Linked DNA regions of Arabidopsis thaliana. The protein of the gene in region 2 interacts with the protein of the main gene of each other region in a pairwise test. Each region holds a gene or a part of one and is shown on either strand. Other genes may lie near its edges.

Region 1 (9,211 bases), on a different chromosome or scaffold from region 2:
GCTGGGCGTCGCCATATTCTTGGTAAGGAATGTTATTCATGAATTATTAGTCTCAAGATAGTAGACTTGGGGAGATTTAGTTCCTTGGAAAATGTATGCCACAAAAGATGTAATTTACTATATTTTTTTTTTTCCTTTTTGTGCAGCTGAAATGGCAAAGTGCTCACCGCCTCCCACGCTAAGCCTCTCAAAATATGCTCCATTGATACTTATTATGAAGGTTTGGCTTCAACTAGTTTTTCCAGGATTGCCCAGTCTAATGCCTTTCTGCCTTGAACTAAAGATTGTTGGCGTTTCATGTGCTGCAGGTTCATCCAAGCAAAGTATACTCTCTTATTGGTTCTGGAGGTAAGAAAGTAAAGAGCATCATTGAAGAATCTGGAGTTGAGGCCATTGACATGCAAGATGATGGAACTGTGAGATATACATGCAAAAAAATGTGATTTTATATTTATTGGGTATTCTTTATCCTAACTTCTTAATATTTATCTTTGTCAAGGTCAAAATTATGGCAATTGATGTAGCGAGTCTAGAAAGGGCGAAAGCGATTATTAGTGGATTGACAATGGTTCCCTCTGTTGGTGATATCTACAGGTATGTATCCTTCATATACCTTCTCTGACCAAAAAGCGTAAATAGATTTGGATTCTTACCTTTCTTTTTGTATCAGGAATTGTGAAATCAAGTCAATGGCTCCTTATGGTGCATTTGTAGAGATAGCGCCTGGGCGGGAAGGTCTTTGCCATATCAGTGAGCTGAGTGCTGAATGGCTTGCAAAACCAGAGGATGTGAGCATTACTCATTGATTCCCTTCCTTTATAGAAATTGTTTCATCTTTTATTCAGGTTTTCACATACGCTCATTCTTGTCCTTTCAGGCCTATAAAGTAGGAGACCGCATTGACGTCAAATTAATAGAGGTCAGCGAGTTATTGTGTCTTTATAACTCAAGAGACAATATAACTAATCGGAAATGATAATTAGAGAGTTGTTGAACAAAGAAACATGGATAATGCAGGTAAATGAAAAGGGTCAGCTTCGACTTAGTGTACGGGCTTTACTTCCCGAATCAGAGACAGACAAAGACAGTCAGAAACAACAGCCGGCAGGTGATTCTACCAAAGACAAGAGTTCGCAAAGGAAATATGTAAATACTTCGTCAAAGGACCGTGCAGCTGCAGGAGCATCAAAGGTTTCATCTGGGGATGAACTTGTCCTGAAGAAGAAAGATGTAAGGAGAGCAACTGGTGGTAGTAGTGACAAGACAATGAATAGCAATAGCAGTACCAACGAAGAAAGTTTAGTCAACGGTGAAGCTACAATCAGCTAGTGGAATGCAAACAAGATCACTGTTCATATCTGTGTCTCGTGAGACTCATTACGAAAGGAGGAGAGTTTCTTCCAACGGAACCACAGGTGCGACTTGAGAAATCTTGAAAACTTGAGACAAGACAAGTTGCAAATGTCTTTTCTTGATTTTTTTTCTAATGTTTTGTAATTATGTTTCTTGGCAGTTTCTTGAAGCTGTGCATATATGTTGGCAAGTCTGGTGTGGAGGAGGATAACATTTTTGAAGACGTCATATGTTGGGAGATTCTCAGACATTTCATCAGTTCTTTCTGTTGTCTTCTCTCTTGCAAACTCATTAGTCCGTTTAGGTTACTTGATATATTAATGTTTTTGACTAAATTTTATTTGGGATAGATGATTTTTCTTCAGCTTGTCAAAGTTTCCCAATTTTTGTTATGTTTCGAGTTATTAGATGGACTTGGCAACTTCAAGAGTTTTAAAGATCACTTAGCTAAGTGAAGAAAACTATATAACTGGATACATTTCACAACAAGAGCACATATATTTCTAAGCCTGTACAAGCAACAACAGCTTGAGGTCGAGTCCCTTTAACTGCTGCATTGAACCGCCCATATTAAGCAAGATGATCTGCAACTTTTAAATGTTCTTGCACTCTTTATCTGCAGAGTATCAAAGTTTCCCAGTTTTTGTTATGTTTCGACTTACTAGATGGACTTGGCAGTTTCAAGATCATTTAACCAATATTGGCAAACTTTATAACTGGAAATGGAAAAAGGAATAAAACATGAAATTGGCATTTAAGAGATATACATTGGCTTGTGTACATGAAAATGGAATGACTATCAATGTACATAAAATGTTGTTGTATATATTGGCTTGTGTTTACTCTTGTGCCAAACTGTTTAATTCTCTTTAGATGCTACTTCAGCAACAACAAAGCTTGAGCTCGAGTCCCTTTAACTGCAGCATTGATCCACCAATCTTAAGCAAGATGATCTGTTGTTTTTCTCGTACAAGTCATTGTGGGAACGTAAACCGCATTGTTCAGTAAGCTGTGAGATCGGCCATAGAAGATATAGATCATGCTTCCAATAAGTAGCCATATCAAGACCCTGATCCATGTCCCAGCTCTGCCATTACAAATAACCAGCAAGGGTTTAGAAACATCCCAATATACTGAATCATACATGGGTCCATCAGACTAACTCACCCAATGTTGATGATCAAGTAGGTGTTGATCAAAATGCAAAGAACTGGAAGGTATGGGACGAATGGGCAGAGAAACCCTGAAATAGAATCATATATAGAATGCCAGTTAGAAAACGCTGCTCAAGTATAAATCCAAGTTTATGGTTTTTGCTAAAACCTCAAAATTTTCGTCCTAACCAGGTAATAACCAACTCAGCAAGAAACTAATAACTAAGCAGCGTTTTTGATGAAAGTAAGACCAACCAATTGATGGCTCGCTGAATCTTATATTCAATTAAACTTCTCATTTTGTGATGTATGAGTAGGCAAAAAAAAAGGCTTGAATAAGGTTCAGGCCTTACCTCCTTTGTGTCCAAAGTTGTGCCTTTCTTCATCCTCGTCAATGTAGCCAAGAGTAATCAAACTGCCAAGCAAGATGACTGCACTGACACCACATATAGTGAAACGAGGAAAACTGCAAAAGTCAAGAAATAACCCATTAGAGTTCATAACCATATTACAAAGATAATAACATGCAAATCTTTCAACACAGCAAGTTGAAAAGTGCTTCACAAAATTCTGAAACAGGAATGCATTTTCTAATTGAGCATACTTAACCGCTTTGACATGCAAGTAGCAGTGATATCGTTCACAGCTAATCAAGCATCTCAACCAAACTAAATAGATTTGTTTAGTAGACATAATTAGATGTGGGGAATATATGCAGGACGGGTTATACAGACATAAGATATCAGATGATGAAACGACCTTGGAAGACGCTCAGCTGAAGCTGCTGAAGCAAGACCTAGGACACCTATGCACACAAGAGCTATACTCCAGGCAGCAATTTTTCTCCTCTTTCCAAAATACTTTTCATCTGTTCAATTAAAAAGAAGCAAAAAAGTCATATTTCTTAAATGCAGATAAAAGGCAGAAAAGATTGAATTGTTGGATGTATCTTTACAACATATCCAAATGGTAACTACGTGATTGAGCACATTTTAGTACCTCGAGCAGTTTCATTTCCAAGTAGAGGGGAATCAGAAGATTCTATAGCATCCACAAGAAAATTTTCAGTTTCAGCTCTACTTTCATCGGTATCACTCAAAGTTTGGGAGGAAGATGATAGGGGAACTCCATCTGGTGGTACATATCTAAGAACTAGCACACAGACTGCAACGGCAGTGAATGCCATTAGAGTGCCTACACTAACCTGTTGGATAAATTACCGATGTGAGCTACTCAGAGAAGGATCTGTTACCGTAATAGAGTGTGTTTAGGCGTGTCTCAACTAAATTATATAATACTAACTGCTTCAACAATATCAAAACTATACTACTAATAATGAACCCTCAATTTTCTGTTTGCCACTAATTGTAGGTGAAAATCCTTCCTTAAGACTTGAGACATGTAATGTAGGCAAATACCAGCTTACCATCTCGGACAACTGTGCAACATCCATGAAAAATGCGAGTGCAGCGGCAAGAACACCAATAGCTATTGTGCTTTTCACTGGTACTTGAGTTCGTGGGCTAATTTCTGAAAAGAAAGCTGGCAACAATCCATCCCTAGCCATTGCCATGAATATTCGTGGCTAATAAAAAAAAAATACAAAGCTCTGTCAAAACGACATGTAAGCATTTCCAAAACCCACACAGAACCAGCATGTTACTTTTACTACTAAGATATCTCAATTACAAAATCTCTTGAACTTGGATTTTCAGAACGATAGAATTGGTTAGTACCTGAGCCAGAAGGGAACCCAACAAACTCGCACATAGAGCAGTTATTGCCCCAGTGGTTAAGATGTACCTGAAATATATAGGAATAATAAGAAAAAAAAAAGCAAAGACAAAAGGAAGTATGTGTATATGCATCGTGACTAATTAATACAAAGAAATTTGAGTGTCAAGAGATGTATCATACTTACGCTGCCCATTGCATCCCACTGTCTCCAAATGCAGAGGAGATAGGAGTATCAGGATTCAATGAATAGTATGGGACCAATCCAACAATAACTACTGATAAAAGCATATACAAAATGCAGCATATCAGTAATGCAATCCCGATTCCCAATGGAAGATCCCTTTGAGGATTTTTCACCTGTTGTGGCAATACCAAAAGGTTAAGAGCTTAACAGAGAAAATCGCCAGAATTATGGAAAAAAAGTTCACTATACTAAGACCAAAAATCATCCTTTATTACTAGTTCTATATGGAATCGTCAAAGTGAGTCCTTTGTAGAGAAAAGAGAAGGATAATAAATCAAAAAGAATGAGAGTATTATTCAATAAACTGTATACCTCCTCAGCCGTACTAGTTACAGTATCAAATCCAATGTATGAGAAGAATACTACAGCAGATCCGGCAAGTATCCCATTTAGTCCAAAAGGAAAGTACCTGTAAAGACAAGTATTAAACATTGACTTTAAGAAATAACTTTTGACAAAAGCTACGCTCAATGGAGAAGAGAACAGGCTAATTACCCACTGGGGAGATCATATCCAACCCATCCAGTCTTGCAAGCTAAATATCCACCAACTACTATGATGAAAACCAAGGTGCAAACATTCACTGATGTTACAATTGCTTGTACTGTTGAACTCTGTAAGAACAAAATAACCCGGTATAACACTATTAGACGATCTGATAATCCTGAAATGAATCCATTTAAAATGTCTTCAATAAAGTACCTCCTTTATCCCAAAACATAGTAGTATCGTGACAATCATAATCAAAAGTGCAGCACATGGATCAACCACAATACCAACCCCGGGTATAGTTTGTCGAGCTAAGAACACAGGAAGATTGTCCAAACCACCAAAAAAAGATGCCTAAAACAAAAGAAACACCAGTCAGAATTAAATCAACAAAAGACCACAAATACATATATTTTTTTTTTGAAAATAATGTTAAATTATATTCCAAAGAAAAACGTTTTTACAACAAGTGCATCTTGGGTTTGAGAATTAGAGCTGAGAATAGTTTTGAAAAAAGAAAGAAAAGGAGCTAAGTGATTAACTTCTTGACTGAAACCAAACACATATAACTCAAAGGCAAATACCAGATTTGGAGTTATGCCACGGGCAATGGCTGATCCACCAATTGTATAATCCAACACCAGTGCCCAACCAACCAACCAAGCAATCCTATGAAATAAGAAAATCCATGAGTATCAGCTTTAAGACGAACAACAAGGTCAATCCTATTAAAATCCATATATATATACCCTTCTCCAAGACAAATGTACGCATAATGATAAGCACTCCCAGCAGATGGACAACGAGAAGCAAGCTCAGCATAACAACAGGCAGAGAGAGCAGCAGCTACTCCAGCAATGAAGAATGATACAGCAAGAGCAGGTCCTGTGTGCTCTCTAGCTACCGTTCCCACAAGAATATACACTCCTGCTCCAATTGTTGTCCCAACTCCTGACAAATTAACACCGAAAGGAACACAATCAACACCCATAAGGAATTTTGATCAAAATTGGCCAAAGCTTGAAGCTTTCTCATACCAATAGCAACAAGATCAACGGCGGATAGTTTCTTGGCAAGCTGATGAGGTCCATCGTTTTTGATAAGATGAACAGAATCAACTTGTTTTCTTCTCACAAGACTGTTCATATCAACCAACTTTGCAGAGTCCACACCGGTTTGATTTTCCAATCGATTCAGAGCAAACCCATCTGAGTTTTTCCCAGAAAATCCAACAAAGATTGAAATTTTTTCTTCTACAGAATCCACCAGATGGAGTATCGGAGCCGGAGATAACTCGAGAGGCGTGCACGATTCCAACTTTTGTGAGATTCTCGTTGGTAAAGATTCTTCAAAGTTTAGATGACTTTTGTGATTTTGTTTATTTCTTCCTTTTTATTAACAATTGGGCTAATTTGTGCAATGGGCAACTCTTGATTCATGAATTCTCTATCCTAAGAGATTTATCTGCACCTCAGCTTAAAAACAGATTAACAGATTTTACTTTTTTTACAATGTCACAGTAAAAATTGATGGACATGTGGATCTTCTCTTTACCAAAAACAGAACGGTAATGTAAATTATAACAGATTACGCCCAAATGTTATAGACAATCAATAATCACCCGTCTAATCTCCAATTCATCAATCCTTTAGTCCAAAACACTTGAATATATAAAAAAGAAAAGTTGCAACAAATCTTGTTCCAGTACAAAACAAAAGAAAATACTCCAAACTTTACCAAGAGACAAAACTTGATTTAGGTTTGAAGCAACTATTTAAGAACCATCGAGCAGAAGAGAAAGATATTGGAGACGAAGCAGTAAGAGCTGGTTGATACACTTGGACCACTTTCTTGGTTTTAATATGGTATACGCTAATACCGCTTTCAGCATTGCGTACAAACCTCCTCCTAGGTCGATAAGGCGGGTCAGCATAAAAATATATGCAATTTTTCATAACTCCATCTTTGGCTGCAACAGTTATTCCTAGATCAAAAATAAATGCTTCGTCTCCTAAAGAATTGGTTCTGCTCCATTCTAATGATTTAGGATCCATCTTGTAGACACCCCCACTGTGTATAACGATCAAAACTTGTCCTGACAAAGTCACAGCAAGATTCTTGCCGCAAAACGAATCATTACCATAATTCGGAGATTTGAAACTTGCACATTGTATTGGAGAAGCATCAGCGTGGGAGAAATCAAGAACAGTGACGTGAGTATCAGTAAGCACGTAAAGCTTGCTTTCTTTACACACCATATCCACGCATCGTTGATTCATTAAAGGTTGAATCACTTTCCAGTTATTCTTGTCATCTCCTTTCTTGTGATATGCAAAAAAGCCATCATAATTCCAAACAACTAAGTAGTCTCTGGTTTCTTCATCTACCCACAAAACAGCTTTGCCTATTCTAAGACACATGACCATATGTGAAGTTTTTTTTTTTTTTTGCAGAATTGTTTTGGTCATTGAGAGTCACCCAAAAATTATTATTATTGATTCTCCAAAATTCTATCGGACATCCATCGGTTGCACCCAGACAAGGAAGATAAATCCTCTCTCGAGTAAACAGATTCAAGAGATGAAAATCGTTTCTATGGTCTAACATAAGGAACCATCTACCGGAACTGGCCAAACAACGACTACTAGCTAGATCAAACCCGACATCTCTTAAAGTGTAGCAACTATGGTCACGAGGATTGAACAACTTACATGATGAATTTTCTTTCCAATCTGTGTTGTATGGAAACATTATGATCCATGGAGTTGTTACTCTGATGCACGATTTCGAGGCGTAATACCATTCTGAAGAAATGCATCTGGCTCGATGAAAATCAGAGAATCTCAAGCGATCCAAGATCGATATAACCAGGTCTCGGACAAGTGTCGGCTGCTTTGGATCGTCGTTGCATGTCTTTTCCTCGGACTCACTCATCTAGGGTTTGTCTCCTGCTTCTTCTAATCAAGATACTTATATATGTTTGTTCATTTTTATTTCTTTTTGGTTAATTTCTTAAAATAAATGAATTTATTGGAAATAAATATATCTGAAAATGTTTTTATATTAAAAAAAAATACATAAAGACTTTATAATACGGTACGGTGCACTAGTTTGTTATATTGAAAATGATCAAGTACATTTGGTCCATGTTAAGTCGGTGAGAATTAATTTCCAAATCAAATTTTCAGTACTCTACACAAGTTAGATTATAAAATGATGCTTTCTTTCTTGATCGGTTTTGAGAATCAGTCTTTTGGCAATTTGATATAGCTAATGACTTGTTAAGCTCATGATCAACACTTAAACCCATGGAAGAAATGTTGGTGGGAACTAAAAGCCAAATTTATCTACAAAAACAAAACCATCTTAAGAGGATTCGTTGTTGATATTGAGTACGATTTTTCAAACTTTTCTAAGTCCAACACACTTGAATATAAAAGAAAACTTGCAAACACTCTTGTTCCAAGAGAGACAAGAAAATACTGTAGCCTTACAAAAAAGACAAAACTAGATAGTTTTAAAGCAACCATGCATCACACCCTAAATTTCTCCTGGATGAGGATCTCAAGAGCATTCACATGGTCGTGGAGGTATAAGTCCAAAAGTGCTTTGGTTTTGAATGAGTTTTCAAAAAATCCAAGCATGGTGGTTTAAACATCCTGCAACAAATAAACCAAGCTTGTTTAATTGCCGACAAGTGTATTCAATAGAAATTTTTTAAGAGTTATATATTACCCTCCAAGAGTTTTTCTAATCAAGTGTTGGAAATGGTGGCCAACTTTTTGACTTCCCATCCTCTCAGAAATCTCCTAAAAAATCATCAATAAAAAAAGTTTACAAGTCGGCTTATTTATTTTTATATATATATAATCGATTAATATTGTATTACCTCAAGCTCATCTTTTTTCATCGTGGCAAGACCACACCATGCCGTGTACATGAACAAATCCTCCCAAGTAAAGAGGTCAAAAGAGTTTTTTGACCACTTGGCATAGCATTTGACCAAATGCGCAAACTGCGAAAACAATAAATATTGATGAATATAAGTTATACCAAACATAATTATAAACAAAACATAAATATATCTATATGAGTTTACGTACCAAAACAGCGGCTGTGTAATAGTGGCCTAAAGCCATGTTGGCTAAGCCTCGTCCACATAAGGATTTATAATGGATTGCTTTCCTGTCATCAGCGTCATCAAGCTTGGGTGCGTTTGTAGATAGTTCAATCG
Region 2 (6,382 bases):
TAGTTAGGACTAGCATCGCTACTAGGTTTAAAGTATCATAGATACTAAGCTGTATGCAGTACTTGGATGAGTTTCCTCAAATTCTTGAAAGTTATCTCGCGTGTAAGCCAATTTATTTTTCTTACTAGGAGCTGGAGAGGCAATTAGTTTCAAAGGAAGCATCTCTGCCTCAAGAGCCACCAGCCGGGGAAGAGAACGCCATTACACTTCAAGTCAGGCTGCCAGATGGCACCCGTCATGGCCGCCGGTTCTTTAAATCCGACAAACTCCAAGTAAATATCCCAAAACCAGCTTCAATTATCCTCAAATATATGAAAAACCTTAATAACCACTAATCATGTCTTCTTCTTATTTGCAGTCACTTTTCGACTTTATAGACATCTGTAGAGTTGTGAAGCCCAACACTTATAGGCTGGTAAGTGGTTTATGCCATAAAATGCTAAATAAAAATTTTCATTTGAGACATCTTTTAGTTGATTTGATAAACTCTTGTGTGATCAAAAACAGGTAAGGCCATATCCTCGGCGTGCTTTTGGAGATGGAGAATGCTCATCGACTCTAAACGATATCGGTTTAACGAGCAAACAAGAAGCATTGTTCTTGGAGCTGATCTAGAATTGGTATTATTCTATTGGGGTTACATAATTTATTCTTTTATATGTCTTCTTCTTTTTCTTCGTAGAATTTGTTACTCCCTAAACATTTATTGGTCTATTTAATCCAAGGCTGGCTTTTGAAAGTAATTTTTTTTTCTCCACCGATATACATCTTGGTTTGTTGGATGTGCTATTCCTTCTTCACGCATCTCATATGATAGTACTGTGATCGTGGATATCAAATTTACCAGATTTGCAAAATGATATGATATTCTCATCATATTCAAAGTTAAAAGTTTGGGTATAGAAGTTCAAATTTGGTTTCTAAATCATTATAGTGTCATTCAGTTGTGTTAAAAATCTAAATGTAGACAATAATTGAAGGGAGAGTATAAAGAGGAAGTGAGGTGATGGAGAATGAAGGACATTAGAAGCTAATGTTATATAAAAGCAAGTTGGGACAGTTGAGGAAAATAGCTTTGATTTTAGTGGCAAATTCATAACTAATTCTCCTTTCTTCATGTTTCACCTTATGGGCCTTTTTTGTTCCTTGCCACCACACCATGAAGTTTGTTACATTTTTAATAGTCTATAATGCAAAATATCATATTCTTATAATAAGTTATAACCAAGTGGACACAATTTTGTTATTCAGATTTGAACTCTAATTTGGTATTTTGTCACCTCATGTGAATTTAACACCCCAAAGAAAAACATACACTGAAACGGGTCGGGTTAGTGGAAGAAAAGAGAGTAAACGAAGAAGACGACAAAGAGACCGGGTCATTCACGGCGTCGGCTGTCACAAACGACGACCTTGACGGAGACATTAGTATTTTCTCGCCGTCGTCAAAGTTTCACAACTCTTTCCGTTACGTTACTTACACGCGCCTTAAACGTCACGCGCCTATGGAGGACCACTAAACATGGTGTTTAATAATTATTTTTATTTTCTTGTTGCATAAGAATTTCCCGGCAACGAAACCAACTTCTATCTTGTCCTTTAATTGCTTAACCAGATTCATATATATTACACTCGAACCACTTGAAAAGGATAGTTTTATGTTTACACATTCAATTTCTAAAGTCATTCTCATGACAACAAATCACTCCCATGATATTTTTTTTGAAATGACATGAGGTTTAATACTAATAAAGTATATTTTTACAATCAAATCAAATCAACAACATTACATTTTAAAAAAAATCCAATATATATCTCACAACATAAATTTGAAAATCCAACAATCAAATGTTTCCTCCTAGAATAATGAATTAGAAGAGTGTACAATGAAACGAATCTCGTTAGTGCCAATAAATCAAAACTAGAAGACAAGATTTTCTTCTATATCCAAAGAATCCAATAAAAACGGTGTATTACCATCATCTTCATCACCATCACATGATCTAGTCATGAGTTCTTTTGCTCTATGAACCTCAACTTCCCAATCAGTCCTAGCCAACACGACCAGCATCGAAATCAGGCACGAGCCTTGTGCTGCAAATAGACCGAGCCATAGTCCTTTGAAGTCAAACCCGCTAAAGAAACTTAACCATACAGCCACTGGCATTCCCACAAAGTAGAAACAACACAAGTTTATGTTTGCTCCTAACTTAGGTCTCGCACTTCCTCTCAACACTCCACACAATGTGGTCTGAGGACAGTTTCCTAGCTCGCAAAGCCCGATGATCGGTAAAACCATTGAAGTCAACTTCACAATCTCTTCCTCATCTGTGAACAATCTTGCCCAGCAATTCCTCACCATCAAAGCGAAAAACATTGCCAATAAACCTAAACCAAGGCTTAAACTAAGTCCGGTTCTCGCAGCTATCCTCGCTTTATCAGGCTGATTCGCACCTAATTCATTCCCGACACGTGTCGATACGCTGATACTCAGAGAGGAAGGGAAAATGTAGATCAAAGCGGTGGTTTGGATCAAGATTCCCATAGATGCCACGGTTGCTTGCGGGTTAAGTAACAATCCACATAGAAGAATCATGATTTCATACCACCACCACTCTAAACAAACCGAGACGCAGCTAGGGATGGCTAGTTTCATTAGAGATCTCCATCCTTTAAAGCAATCCATTGAGAATCCTCCCCAAGTCTTCTGGTAAACACCGGAAAACACTATGTAGATGATTAGAAACCCTAGGAGATTGACATTAGTCCAGATTGCTCCCAAGGCGACTCCTTTAAGGCCGAGACCGAGAGAAGAAACGAGAAGGTAGTTAATCGGAATGTGGAGTAATACTGCGAAGAAAGCAGAGTAGGTTAGAGGAAGAGTGATCGATTGAGATCGGAGGTAGATACGGATAGGATGTAAAAAAGATTGGAGGATCAGATCAGGGAGAGAGAAGAGGATAAAGATCTCAGCTTGGTTTGAGATTTCTTCGTCTTGTCCGAAGAAGAGAAGGATCTTCTTGATGTTGAGCCAGAGGATAGATATGGGAAGAGAACAGAGGAGAAGCAAAAGTGTGGTTCTTTGCAAAGCAAGGCCTAAAAGTTTGAATCTTTTGGCGCCAAAGGCTTGAACGCAGATGGGTTCCATGCCGATAGAGAGACCGGAGAGGAGAGAGTAACCCGTGATGTTAGCGAAGCCGAGGGCGAGTGAGCCACCGGAAAGAGCAGAGAGATCGTTGAGACGGCCGAGGAAGAGCATTGAGATCATTGAGCGAGAGTAGAGAAGTAAACCGGTTAAGATCAGTGGGAGAGATATTTTGGCGATTGATTTGGCTTCTTGGATCGAAGAGGAAAGGTGGGTCGGGTTCGGATTCGGATCTTGTCGGTGATCTGTTTGGTTCTTGATGATCATCAACAAAGGAGCTGCCATGATTACAGGTTTGAGAGAGAAGAGAGAGACAGAGACAGAGAAAGGAGATGATGAAGAAGGTGTTGTTGATGTGTGAAAGGTGTGTTATAAGTTTGAGATTAAGTCACTAGTTAAGGTTAATAGTGATTAAGGCCCTTAAGGGAACAAGAGAAGTTTTTTGACTCAGAAATTAGTCTTAATTATAACAGAACAATTTTGGCGGTTTATTTGACCGGCCATTATGTCATTTGTTACGACTCCGTCTTAATTCAGAGACACTATTTTATTCTATTTTCATTTGTGGAAAACCAATAAAAAAAGTTTAAAGAAAATATGATTTTTGGATGTCTATTTGGAATCATTTTACTTTCTTCATGTTGATTTGGATTTTTTATATATATAATAGTATTGTTTTTCTTTGGATGTTTATGCAACTCTTTTCTTTTAATCATGGTTACGTTTATTAGGATTTTTGTTTCCATTTGGAGATAAGTTTCCAAGAAAATATTGATATTTGGATGTTTATTAAGAATTTTTTTTATTCACGATTAATTTATTGTCTGTATTTCGTTTAATTTATAGTTAGATACTTAGATACATACATACAATACAACTCAGCATAGAAAGAGTTGAAACTTGAGACGTTTTTGGGATTTCTATTCTTTAAATAATAAACCAGTGTAACAAATTGACTCATGTCGTTTCTTCCTCACTTTTAATAGTATTGAATTTGACCATTATGGGTAATTTTCATGTGCCAAAAAAAAAAAACGAAATGGATTCTTTACAAAATCAAATAAGTAACTGCTCGAAGTAGTAGTAAAGTAGTAAGCTAGTAGGGATGGACACAGATCATATACCAGAAAATTAAGCAGCTATACAGAGAGGTTGGTATCAAGTTGTTACGAAATACTAAGATTTAAAATTTTATGGACCATTTTATATAAAACTTGGGACGATGTTGATGCTTGCAATAAAGTGAGAAGAATTATATAGAATATTATACCTACTTAATGCTTATTTCTAAACTTCAAAACAATTTATTGGACCACTCTATTGATCATATAATCGAGGGGAAAATTATAGTTTGGCAAAAAAAAAGGCTTGCTTTCATAATTAGTTTCAAGAGAACTTAACAGAAAATAATAATTAGTTTAAAGAGAATATTTTTTATTAGTGTTTATTAATTTTGGGATAAGAATTTATTGTTTGTGCATAGATATAATACGATGTCACATGCTTCACCTCTATAGAATGTGGACCATTAATATAGCTTAAGGATGATGGGGAACAAAAATAACATTATCTTATCACGAGCTATGTCGATCGTTTATTATATTATAACAAAAAAAAAAATTAACAACTGTAAATAGAAAAAAATATATATATATAAACTATATGAAATAAAAATAAATACAAATGTAAATATAGAAGTAACAAACAAATATAAATAACATGATAAAAAAATTATAATTTACGTATTTCAGAGATTTTATATTTATATTTTTAGAAATGATTAGGGTTTCCAAGTCAAATTTTCGATCAATTTTCTAAGTTACAACTTACTGTTACTTTGTATATGAACGAAAGAGAATTGATTTCCTTTTGGACTAAAATTGTTGTCAAGTGTTTATTATGTTTTGATTATGTTTTATTTATGTGAAATTTCAGAGTATTTTTTCATTGTATCTTGAATATCAAATATCATTAACAAATTATGTGAAAATTAATTTACGTCGACTTAAAATTAGGTTAAGGTAATCTTGACAAGGAAAAAGGGCAAGGTTATCGAGGAATCTAATAGTGTTTTGGTTAAAATTAACAAATTTTTTTCATTAACACAATTGTGTTCCTAATTCTCATCACACTGTCTATAACGTATTTTCCTATAATCAGTATTACCGCATATACTTAATGGTTGTTCATCCATATGCATTCTAGAAACAATATCTTCATATGATCAAAGTAATTAAACAACAATATCTTGTGAGACAAAAGATGTCATATAGTCAAAAATGTTCAAAAATCTATAATATCCTTGGCATAGAATGAATCAACCCCATAAAGATCCTAAGTAATAGGAGGAATCCTAATAGTCTAATTTATTCATTCTCATGCATGTAACTTTAACTAAACAAACCTTTGTGTCCTGTCGCTTGATAACTTCTGTTTATATGAGATTAACCATTATCCGATAAGCTAAGAGTAAATAAAGTACTCTATACTATTCAATAGCTTAATTTAATACACTTAACGTCTATATATGTATATAGAACCTGTCGTGGGATCTAAGACAGTAAGACATCAATCATCGTATTATCTTATAAAAAAATTACTTAAATGCTCGTGCTTCATTTGGTATATCTTTTAAGTCTTAAGTTTGCAAACATTGAAACAATCATCTGTGTGGATGCTATTTGGTTTGGAATATATTTAACATAAACCCAAAAAAGGCTTACATGCCTTTTGAATCATTTGATAGGATTCTAATGACTTTCTTTAGTCTTAAGCCGAGTTCTTAAGGGCAAAAATTCGTTTATAGATTATTGTCTTGAGAACAAAAAAAATCCATAACCAACTTTTTGTACTTCATATCAATGATTTTGAAAGAACTCTGTAATATTCATATCAAATGATATGCATAGGAACATGAAGGAATTGTCAGACTTGTTAGTCTTATGGAAAGCGGCATGGTGGAAATTGGAAGACATTTTATCGTTTAAATACAATTGGTTTTTCAATAAGTAATAAATATCAGATACTGGTGACAAAAAAGGTCAAAACATTTTTACCATATTTTATTTCGTTGTATTAAATTGTGTTGGTAGTAATTGGGAAAAGATAAGATAAAATGACAAAAAGAAAGCTCCAAAACACTCAAAACAAACCATTAATCAATAATCATGCAGAAAAATAAAGCACAACATAAGATGGGCTTGGTCAATGGATGAGTCTTGCCAATAAAAGAGATAA

What was found. The genes of interacting proteins can lie anywhere in the genome.
Region 1: the proteins of AT4G23030 (region 2) and CAT4 interact in a protein complementation assay, tested with the Arabidopsis thaliana proteins (one large-scale study listed by BioGRID).

What each region holds. Positions count from the first base shown.
Region 1 is NC_003074.8:923,578-932,788, forward strand, and holds CAT4 (cationic amino acid transporter 4), read right to left. Parts: upstream 6,426-9,211; 5' UTR 6,124-6,425; coding exon 6,015-6,123; intron 5,929-6,014; coding exon 5,727-5,928; intron 5,647-5,726; coding exon 5,562-5,646; intron 5,332-5,561; coding exon 5,191-5,331; intron 5,103-5,190; coding exon 4,984-5,102; intron 4,898-4,983; coding exon 4,801-4,897; intron 4,602-4,800; coding exon 4,429-4,601; intron 4,311-4,428; coding exon 4,244-4,310; intron 4,093-4,243; coding exon 3,934-4,092; intron 3,712-3,933; coding exon 3,507-3,711; intron 3,376-3,506; coding exon 3,267-3,375; intron 2,974-3,266; coding exon 2,861-2,973; intron 2,597-2,860; coding exon 2,521-2,596; intron 2,441-2,520; coding exon 2,293-2,440; 3' UTR 1,979-2,292; downstream 1-1,978. Other genes in the region: RIF10 (polyribonucleotide nucleotidyltransferase), read left to right, coding at 1-22, 147-220, 309-416, 500-594, 671-788, 878-919, 1,018-1,329. UniProt on the Arabidopsis thaliana protein: Permease involved in the transport of the cationic amino acids.
Region 2 is NC_003075.7:12,069,905-12,076,286, reverse strand, and holds AT4G23030 (MATE efflux family protein), read right to left. Parts: upstream 3,528-6,382; 5' UTR 3,431-3,527; coding exon 1,922-3,430; 3' UTR 1,707-1,921; downstream 1-1,706. Other genes in the region: AT4G23040 (Ubiquitin-like superfamily protein), read left to right, coding at 129-272, 359-415, 508-615.